Linked DNA regions of Arabidopsis thaliana. The protein of the gene in region 2 interacts with the protein of the main gene of each other region in a pairwise test. Each region holds a gene or a part of one and is shown on either strand. Other genes may lie near its edges.

The links. Proteins that work in one complex are often made in the same cells at the same time.
Region 1: the proteins of LRL2 (region 2) and IBH1 interact in a two-hybrid assay, tested with the Arabidopsis thaliana proteins (one large-scale study listed by BioGRID).

Annotation. Positions count from the first base shown.
Region 1 is NC_003071.7:17,906,291-17,911,197, forward strand, and holds IBH1 (ILI1 binding bHLH 1), read left to right. Parts: upstream 1-2,716; 5' UTR 2,717-2,956; coding exon 2,957-3,427; 3' UTR 3,428-3,920; downstream 3,921-4,907.
Region 2 is NC_003075.7:15,078,041-15,084,310, reverse strand, and holds LRL2 (LJRHL1-like 2), read left to right. Parts: upstream 1-2,535; 5' UTR 2,536-2,560; coding exon 2,561-3,001; intron 3,002-3,118; coding exon 3,119-3,259; intron 3,260-3,376; coding exon 3,377-3,442; intron 3,443-3,786; coding exon 3,787-3,852; intron 3,853-4,122; coding exon 4,123-4,179; intron 4,180-4,516; coding exon 4,517-4,822; 3' UTR 4,823-5,193; downstream 5,194-6,270. UniProt on the Arabidopsis thaliana protein: Transcription factor that regulates the development of root hairs. Transcription factor that regulates the development of sperm cells.

The sequences.
Region 1 (4,907 bases), on a different chromosome or scaffold from region 2:
TGTACATTAAATTTATCCCACGTGCAACCCTTTTGTCTCTGTCCGTTTATTTTATTCCTCAGTTTTATTAACCAACCAAATCGTTTTTGTGTTACGCGTAACTTACGGTCTATAATTATTTTAGACCGAGAGTCTGAATATGTTTAACTAATTAGATCTTTCCTACTGTCGATTTTAATATGACATGGTCTTCTCTTTTAAGAATTTAAATTACCGAAAATTGATCTTCAATCCGTTTTACATGGACTTCTCTATGATGATATTTGAACAATATGTCTGTACTACAACAAACATAGTTAAAGATATTTGTAACATCTATTTAGGCTATCGTAATTCGTAACTGGTTTTGTTATATAAGACATTTTCAATGAGTTTATTATATATGCTTTTGCATAAAGTTACAAACACTATATATGCTTGAGTCATGGTTTGCTTCGTGACTCGTCGTCGTCGATCGCATAAATTATCTTTGAGGTTTAAATAAAAAATGAAAGAAAATGAGCGCCGTCATGTTATCCACCGGAGAAAGTAAAACGGAGCCACGTCAACAGTTACGGAGCAAAGTCGCCGACAGTTGTAACGTCAAGCTTAATCAGCCGTCTTCATTTTGAACATAACGTAATAAAACAACCAAACACTCTTTTTTCCTCTTTAACAACAAAAGAGGCGTCAGTGCTTACGTGGCTTTTCACACGTTCTGATTTTCAACATTTTGTAAATCATTATTACTAAATGACCAATAGCATTTATTCTTTTGTTTTTGTTTTACATTTTTAGTTGGGATATTTTAATCAACTAGTATGATAAAGTTTATTCGCCCCCAACGACTTATTATTAAATTAAGAAGAGAATCAAAGAAAACGAATGGTGTAGTTAATATTAATTGAATAATTAGAACAAAAAAAAATTAAAGATAAAGATAAGAGAGAAAGGAAAGTGGAGGTGGGTAAAGGCCATAGCCATGTGCCTTCATGTGGTGGTTGGCCCATTAGTGGACCTACTCTACCACTTCTTCAACTCTTTTTTAGTTCTTATTATATGATTAACACCTTCTTATTCATTTGGTTTCACTCCTAATATCAACAATTTTGTAAATTGTTATTGACCCGAAATTGTTAATCTTTAAACGTATTTTTATGATAGATGTGAAATTTGAAACCTTAGAGAAAACAGTGAGATTTAAGGGATTTTGGAGCTGAATCTTGAAAAAAGATAAATATGATCATGATGATGTTATACAAAAGAATTAAATGGCGTGAAAAATACGTCCGGCGGCAAAGCGGTAGGGGAGAGAGTGATTAACACAAAAGAGATGGGACTAATGCTAAATTATAGCCTTAACCAAACACTTATCGTATTCCTCAAGTCTCTCTTCTCTTCTTTTATATTTTCATGTGTTGTCTTTTCTAAATTGGTTAGTAATATTTGGTGTATATAAATTGTAACGTCATCTATTGGTCAAGCCAATTGAATAATCTCATATTTTGTTGTTGCTCTCTTGCATGGTGAATACTTTGTTATATATCTGATCAATTTTAAACACGTTTTATCTTGATGATGCGAGTGGCTAATTGATTAAGTTTATTAACACTTTATATCGTCGAAATAATCATAGTTATTCTCAGGTTCAATGGTGTTACTTTCTAAACTAACGTATAGTTCAAACTCAGTTTCGAATAAACATCCTCAATCAGTCGTTTCACGAGAGTTGGATTTTGGCTGAATTTTGTTTGTGGAAGTAAATATCGAGCAAGTAATGAATCAATTAAATTGATATTTTGGGTTTTGTTATTTCTTTTGCCTTGAAAATGAGCTTATATGTTTTCCACAATCGATCATATTCCATCTTAATCGTCATTAGTTGTCAACTAATGTTAACATAAATACATACATATATGTATATAGCTTACCTAATTTTATCATAATAGTCTCTATTAGCTGTTCACGTTAATGAATTCATACGCATTCGTCACTAAATTAACCTTTTATAAAAACAAACAAATAAACATAATAGTGTGGTTGGAATCTAATTCCATAATCTGATGTCTGCTCTAAATTGCTCTTTTTTCCGTTAATACCAAGCTATGAACCAAACGAGCTTGATTAATTTGCGTCTAGTACTTAAACATCATCCGAATTATTATTTTGTTTTAGCTAAGATGTATACGAGCATTAATGCTATATATATTGTATTTGGGTGTAGTATACATTAATATTTCAAATTTCAAAATAGTCAAATATATATACCCAAAATAGCCAAGTTCTGTTAATCTATTGGCATCAACTTTTTTCTTCAAGCTCCAAAACATCGTTTTCCACTAATTGCCCATTTATTTATTCAAGACTTTATAACACTAGGTGTAAATTATACTTTTCCGAAATACATGGGTTATACAATTCACATTTCATTTTAAAATTCTAACACATAATGATATATTTACACATCTAAGTAGCCACCAGTAAGCAATCGATGTCAAACCACTAAACCATAACAGACGAATCTACAAAAAATTTGAACTAATATTAGTAAACCCCCAAAGTTAAACATAGAACTGTATTTATTTGCTGTTCACCATTGAAGAAAACTGCCACTTATAACTTCATATTCTCATATTTTTACGCAACGTAACTTTGACGGACCAATTAAGCTCCAAAATTCAATATTTCAAAGCTATTAACACATCTTTTTTTTTTTAGAACATGAGTTATAAATAGTTGAACCTATAGTTTAAATTTAAACTTTATAGAGAATTTGAATAGTTGTGTGTCTTGTGACATAAAAAAACATAAAGAAAAGTTAAGTACAAGGAAAAATAAACATTATTTATTCCTCTCTATCTCTCTCTCTCTCTCCACCTTTCCATTTATATTAACCCTAATATTGTGTCATTCTCAAAAAAAAAAAAGTTTTATAAAGGTTCTCAACTCAAGTTCTCTTCTCTAAAAAACCCAAACAATGGCCTCTGCAGACAAACTCATAAACACAGATGTCCCTGAAAAGGACGTTTTTGCCTTCCACTTCCTCCAATCCCTCTCAAATCTCAGAAAACAAAACCCTTTTGATACTCCGGACCAAAAAAACTACCGCGTGAGGAAGATCAAGAAGGCTGCGTACGTTTCCATGGCCAGAGCAGCCGGAGGGAGTAGCCGGCTATGGAGCAGAGCCCTCTTGCGTAGAGCAGACAAAGATGACAACAAGATCGTAAGATTTTCAAGGAGGAAGTGGAAGATATCATCAAAACGGAGGAGGAGTAACCAGAGAGCTCCGGTGGTGGAGGAGGCGGCGGAGAGGCTGAGGAATCTTGTTCCGGGAGGCGGAGGAATGGAGACGTCAAAGCTGATGGAAGAGACGGCTCATTACATCAAGTGCCTTAGTATGCAGGTCAAGGTCATGCAGTGTCTCGTTGATGGCTTATCTCCCAAATGATCATCAATTAATCATCAACATCATCATCAATGATCGATGTATATAGAGATACGACACATACATAGTCTATTGGATTGGGGTAATCATAACGAATATATATGTGTATATATATATATATATATATATATATATTCTTATATATATACATACGTGTAAGATAGGATACATATATGAAATGTGTGGATATGTATTAGTCTCGAAGTAACGAAAGATTTTTTTCTTTTTCTTTTCTTGAATTTTGATAAAAGGGGATTTATTATTTATCATATGCTATGGCCGGTTTAAACATTAGGGCTTGGTAACTTGCCCTTGTCATATGATAAAAGGGGATTTATTACTTATCATATGCTAAGAGAATTTTCTTTCTTCTTTTCTTTTAAGCTATGCAATTTACTTGGTTCCTCTTGATTGTGTTATTCGTCAATGATGTTTCTATGGATGGATTATATATATAAAGTTATAACATATTAGTTATAAGAAAATTATAGCGGAATTATAACTATCATAAAATATACATTCTGTATTTATATATCTCCTATACATATACGACTGTTTATGTTTTTGAGAAAATATATGATAAATCTAATAATTTTAAAAATATATATTTATAGAATTATGAATCATTTAATTAAATGATTTTTTTTTGTTTAACACGGAGTTACTTGAATAAGTCTTAAAAATACTTGACATTATATAGGTTAAAGAATTTTGTAGAATATATATAATTTAACTCCTTTTTTGTTTTGTATAACTCTTTTTTCAGGTAAGAGAGATTTTTTTTTTTGTATAACTCTAACATTTCATGATTTATGTCGGATTGAATTCAAATGGTCGCTCACAACAACATTATTAACAAAAATTACAAGACTCTGATTACTTGTTTTCTTTATAATCACATTTTCCGTTGGAAGGATTATCTACACGTCTTATTTATGCAGTTGGTCATACTTATATTTCATACGAGTGTCCTACTTTAATTTGTCAATTATTATACACGTGTACGTAAACAGACAAATTGGTCAATTCCACATATTTCACATCAAATATCTGATTCGTGCATTCGTTTTCGTCAGAATTTCATTCCATCAGTCGAATAATATTTGAACAAACTTTCAAGTTTTATGGAATTTTCAAAGACTTATTTTTCCCAAAAAAGAAAACACACAAAGATTAACAAAAGGGAATTTGCATTATACTTGAAATTCTACAAAAACGAGTCTGAATTCAAGAGAAGGTTAATATAGACTCTGTACAACATGTCATGAGTCTTACTAGAGAACCTTTCTTTCTTCTCCCCCAAAACAAGGAAAAAAAAACGATATAATACAGTACTTTCCGATGTGTCTTGAATTACTTTTGGTATCCGATTAACTTTGGCTTTGCAGAGAACTTACATCATCAGCTTTTGTGTACCTCTCACATATGAAATCTGCTTAAGCTATGCTCGATGTTTTGGGGAAAAGCTAATTCAGTTTGATTG
Region 2 (6,270 bases):
CTTAATTGCTTAATTGCTAAAGCCTTGGAAATTAAACAACAAAAGTAGAGCTTACGTTTGGAAACGAAATCACACAGAGGGTTGCGAAAGCAAAATTGCGTCTTTAAAGAGAAAAATCGAAAAGGCTTGAGCTTGAGAATTGAGATTGAGCTTGAGCTTGAGAACGCGGCGGAGGAAGAAAGGGTTTAAGCTTCTTTTTTGTTCTCAAACAAGGAGGCGGTTGGGTTTAACGACCCGGTTAGGTTTTATCCTGGTTTATCGTTTAATCGAACCGAATGTTCGGGTTTTGACGTATATTTCTGGTTTTCCATAACCGAGATCCATAATTTTAGACATTTTTATTTCCCTTTTTAGCCCAATCTTAACATTCGAAAATCGTAACACTGGCCAACAAAATATTGAGACGCGCGTTAACTCATCAACATCTTCTTCTCTCAAATTAAAATAGCATTTCGAGCACGTCCAGCACTCAGCTTCATCTACAATCACAGCAAGCCAAATTAAGCTTTCATGTTTCTCAAGTAGAGTTTTTTTAGTATAATTTAAGAGAATGAAATTACATTTAAGGAAATAAGATATGTTTATTTATTTGTATTAGACTAATAGAGTAAGAACCAAGACTTTAATCAGAGTTTGTCAGATTCATACAAGGTTAAATAATTCAATATTTTCCCAAGGCCTAGTTAAGCCCACCTTTTGATATTTACAGATTATATTTATAGTTCATTATAGGTGAATAAGTAGAACTTGGGAAATCAGACGTGATTGTGTACCAAACTAAGATCGTAAGAGCCAGTTTTTCAATTTGAACAAAGCCGTAATTTTTGAGGGAGTTCCTCAAATTTATTGGGTTTTGTCAGGATTGAGTCTACAATGGTTGTGCACCATATGGTTTATTTTCCTGCCTTCCTATTGTAAACGTATTGTTTTATATAAACAATAGAAAAAACTACTGATAATATGAAATAAAACTAATGTATCAGTATACTAGATGGGACCAATAGTTTATTTAACATAGTAGCATTTTTGTCTTTACTATCTGTTTATTTTTTCTATATGGAATTTAAATTATCATTCGTAACTTATTTTACACCCCCTTAGTTAATTATTTTGGTATACATTATGATTATTAAGTAAAAACAAAAATAATTATTGCATTCTCTTGATAATACTAATACATGAGATGATAGATCTCTCTTTCTGTTGTGTAGTACATCAATGCTTACCAACATTTGTAATTAATAAATGGGAAGTGTATTAAAGCCGATCTCTACCTCTTGTGAGTTTGTGCAAAACTCAGAATGTCCCATGTGCTTAATCATGCATATTGCATAATAATGTTCTTTACTTATCTTTGTCAATTTAATATTAATCTTAATCAAATACTATCAAACAGCTGAAAAACTGTATACGATGGTAAAAAAGAATTTTTAAGGTAAATGATGAATTTATTAGACCAAAAAATATTTAACAAGTATAAAAAATACATGGTAACATGACATGATGATGATGACGATGTTCTGTTATGTTATGTTCTCGTTTGAGAGGATCCTCTTTCCCAAATGTTAATCAGATCGGTTAAAACAACAATTTCATCGATCGGTATCATATTAATCAGAAAACAAAACAAGAATAATCTATAAAAAGTGATCTTATTCTTATCGAACACGAGTATCGTCTAAAGGGATAGCATGTTTGTAATCTTGGGGACAAATTGTAAACAGTAATATATGAAGAGAACATTATCATGAACCGTTGATGAATGAATGAATGTACCCAAATGAATAGAGTATAATTGTATGCATTTATACTGCATGTCTAAATATTATATGTCTAAAATAGTTGTCACAAGAAAAAGTGTTGGCTCTGGTGTTATCTTGTAGACTATTGCATTTTTGGACTAGCAAATATTTATCTCGTGGTACGTAGTTGCCGGGACAAGTTTAAAACTCCGACTGATTTTAATAAAAAAGATCAACAATAGAGATTTGTATTTTATTTTATTTTTGTAGTTGGCATCCTTAACATAAATCCAAAGAATTTTATTCAGCATTCAAATAAACCAATTTTAATGTTACCGAATGAAAATCTTATACAATTATCTTAAACATGAGTTTTCAAAAATGATTAATAGAAAAACCTATGTTATATATATAGAAATTTAATAATATACGGTATTAGAACCACATTCTGTCTTAAATAAAAAAAAAAAGATAATTAAACATACGTAAATCATTTGAGTGAAGTTAGTACAACCGAATTTTTTTTTTTTTTTTTTTTTTTTAGTACAACCGAATTTTAAGTTAGTTTTATTACTTTAAGCCTGTCATTCGATCGACTATGATATTTTTAGAAATATATGTTTCACTTACTTTTTGTAGTTACTACAAAATTGTGAAAAGTATATTATCAACAAAGGATTATAAAATTGAAGAAATCATGACTTCAGTGATCGAATTCTTTTAGTGATTAAAAAAATCAAGAAATTATGAAAATAACACGAAATAATTAATTTGCAAGGATGATAAAAAAAATGGTAAATTTGGTAAACGTATTTAACATGTCAAAGTCAAACCCTTCAAATCTCAAATATTACAATCTCCATCCCTCTTTTAAACACCATAAAGCCTTAAACCTCAAAAGACATTTCAACAACATTCATTTTCATTCTCACTCCCCACCAAAAAAAAAAAAAACAGAAGCCATGAACTCCTCGTCTCTTCTAACTCCTTCATCATCTCCTTCTCCACATCTTCAATCTCCTGCAACATTCGACCACGATGATTTCCTCCACCACATCTTCTCCTCCACTCCTTGGCCCTCATCCGTTCTCGACGACACTCCTCCACCAACTTCCGATTGTGCCCCCGTCACTGGATTCCACCACCACGACGCCGATTCAAGAAACCAGATCACTATGATTCCTTTGTCACATAACCATCCTAATGACGCTCTCTTCAATGGCTTCTCCACCGGATCTCTCCCTTTCCACCTCCCTCAAGTATAACTGATAATCCACTTTTTCTCTCTCATTTTGCAAATTACTACAAAAGAGAAAACATTCATTACATGTTCTTTTGTTAAGTCTTAATTTAATGTTTTCTGATATATATTTTAGGGATCGGGAGGTCAAACGCAAACGCAGTCGCAGGCGACGGCGTCAGCCACCACCGGTGGTGCAACGGCGCAACCTCAGACAAAGCCTAAAGTCCGAGCTAGGAGAGGTCAAGCCACTGATCCTCACAGTATCGCCGAACGGGTTCGATTTTTTTATTTAACTTTTCCTCATTATTCGCTTTTCAGTTACCGAGAAAAACGTATAAAGTTATTTAGATGATTAAGGTGATTATTGAAATATTTTGAAATTATGGAACAGTTACGGAGAGAGAGGATAGCGGAAAGAATGAAATCTCTTCAAGAACTTGTCCCTAATGGTAACAAGGTAAATTTTAATTATCTTCATTAGTCTAAATTTCGATCATCAAAGTTGATATAATTAAAAGAGTAGATTCAAATAATCCAATTTGTATTTTACATTTCTTTAATAGTATATATCTCAAAATGAATAATGTGTTAAGTATATGAGTTACACTGATGTATTTTAGTCTTGGACCACAAATTGCTACTAGTTTAGTAGGTTATCTAGAGATTTGGACTTTTATGCAGTCAAATGATTAAACACTGATTAGCTAATTAATTCTAAAATTTAATTGATAATAATACTTAATAAACAGATGCAGAATTGCTAACAAGGTTTTTTTTATTGTTAAAAATAATAATTAACAGACAGACAAAGCATCAATGCTCGATGAGATTATCGATTATGTCAAGTTCTTACAGCTCCAAGTCAAGGTGAATCTCTCTCTCTCTCTCTCTCGAATTATTTTATAAGATATGAGAATTTTAAATTTGTTTTTGTTATAAGAGTGGAAGCTTCTTTACCTTTGAGTTGACATTAGAATAAGAAATCGAATATGGGCCTCTGCAACTAAAATTCCATATGCTCCCTTTCCCTTTTATCTTGTAAATTATTTATCTTTTGCGTTTGTTAAAACATAGTGTTAGTGTATATCTACCTCTTCTTTTGCTTAATTATAATATTTGGCAAATTTATGTATGCAGGTACTAAGCATGAGTAGACTGGGCGGTGCTGCTTCTGCTTCTTCTCAAATCTCTGAGGTAATAATTTCAATTCCTTCTCTCTTAAAAGGGATGATAGGATGACGTGATCACTATATAGAATGAGATTTTATTTTTTAAACTAATTAAAAAGAGATGTAAATTATTGAAAAGGTTTTAGTTAGGGAATAATACTAATTAAAAAGTAGTTTTGTTTTCGACTTTCTAAAAACAAATGAAAAAGTTTTCCAAAAAATAGTAAAAAAAACAAAACAAGGACAGGGCACGCGTGCCTACTTTCTCTCCAACAAATACCAAAACCTCCCATTTCAACATCATCATAGCTTTAGGGTTTTGCTTTTCTTGTTTTCTTTTTAATTTTATTGAACATTTTCAGGATGCCGGTGGATCCCACGAAAACACCTCCTCCTCCGGCGAGGCGAAGATGACGGAGCACCAAGTTGCAAAGCTAATGGAAGAGGACATGGGATCAGCCATGCAATATCTACAAGGCAAAGGTCTTTGCCTCATGCCCATCTCGTTAGCCACCACCATCTCCACCGCCACGTGTCCTTCTCGTAGCCCCTTCGTTAAAGATACCGGCGTTCCTTTGTCTCCTAACCTATCCACTACAATAGTTGCTAACGGTAATGGCTCATCGTTGGTCACCGTTAAAGACGCTCCCTCCGTTTCCAAGCCGTGATAACGGCCATTTGTCCATTTCATTTTCCCTTTTTTGGGTGGGAAAGAGAGAAAAAAGTTTAGAAGACAAAGACAAGTGGGATAGGTGGTTTTGGTCAAAGTTTAGAAAGAATAAGGTCGTGTTTTCGGATACGACACCGTATTTGCGTACACTTTGGTTTTCTGTCTTTACCTACTACAAACCACCCATAAGCACACTCATGTTATCATGTTTTTTTTTTTTTGGTTTATAAAGTTATATCCTTAAATTTTCTATCACAGAACCGGTCTGGTCTAACAAATGTCGTCAATGATGATCATTTAGGCCAAAGAGTTTGTTTAAAACTCGTTATGCTTAAGTTTCTAAATCTACACAACACAGGAATGTAACACTTAAGCAGGCTTAATTTCACCGTTTTATATACTCACATACTGAAGAAATTTATTGTCAATCGCCAATGTGGTCAGCGGTAAGATCTCATATAAATCTTCCTAGTAGTGTTCAAGAAAATCACTATATATGCAGCAGGGGCTTAGAGTAGCATCTAACGTTTAGAACACCTAGTCAGGATCATTTTAGGTGGTTAAGAGTTTTGTAGAGTGAATTTGTATGGTATACCTCTACTATGACCTACTACTATAAACGAAATAACATGATCTTAATTTATCTTATAAGCACAAAAATAAACAGCAAGGACCGAGAAAACATATAAGATATAAACCATTTCCATATATACCAACGACCTCAAACGTTTACATGTTCAAACCGTCAGAATGTTTTCTACCACGATCGAAAAAAAATAGTCTGAATTGAAACAGAGGAAAATATAATATATCATTTCGTTGTAGAGTCTCTTCTTTTTATTGCTTTGGCATGAGGTTTGAGTTTTGACTTCAAGTACAAAAAATGAATTTATTTTGGGCCAAAAGCATGTGGGAAATAAATTACGGCGAAGTTTGGAAGTATTAGGCTTACAAGTACAATAGTCTGGGACACAATTTGACTAAAGGAGTGGGTGGCTACTAACTCCGCACCACACCCATTCATTTTTCTCATTTTTTACAGTACGATTGTAACCAGATCCCAAAACCTAACCTCTCGGCTCCTAAATAAGGCTCCAATAGTTAGTTTCTCAGTGACTTTTTTTTAATAGTGTAGAAAGTATATAAGATACATCCAACACCCCCATTGTTTAAACGGGTCAACATCAAGTTTTCTTTTCAACCACATAAATTTTCTCAAATTTAAATTGGGATGATCACAAAAGGACACTAATTCGAACTACTAAACTACATATCCAGCTCAAATTACTAATTAGTTTGGTGATTATTTGTTCAATTCGACACATAATCTCTCAATTTAAAAATTTATTTGTAAGATCAATCAATAATTCTATTTAAAAAATTGGAAAAGAGCAAAACAAATTCTAGGTGAAACAAACGTAGTACATTAATTGGAGAAACCATACA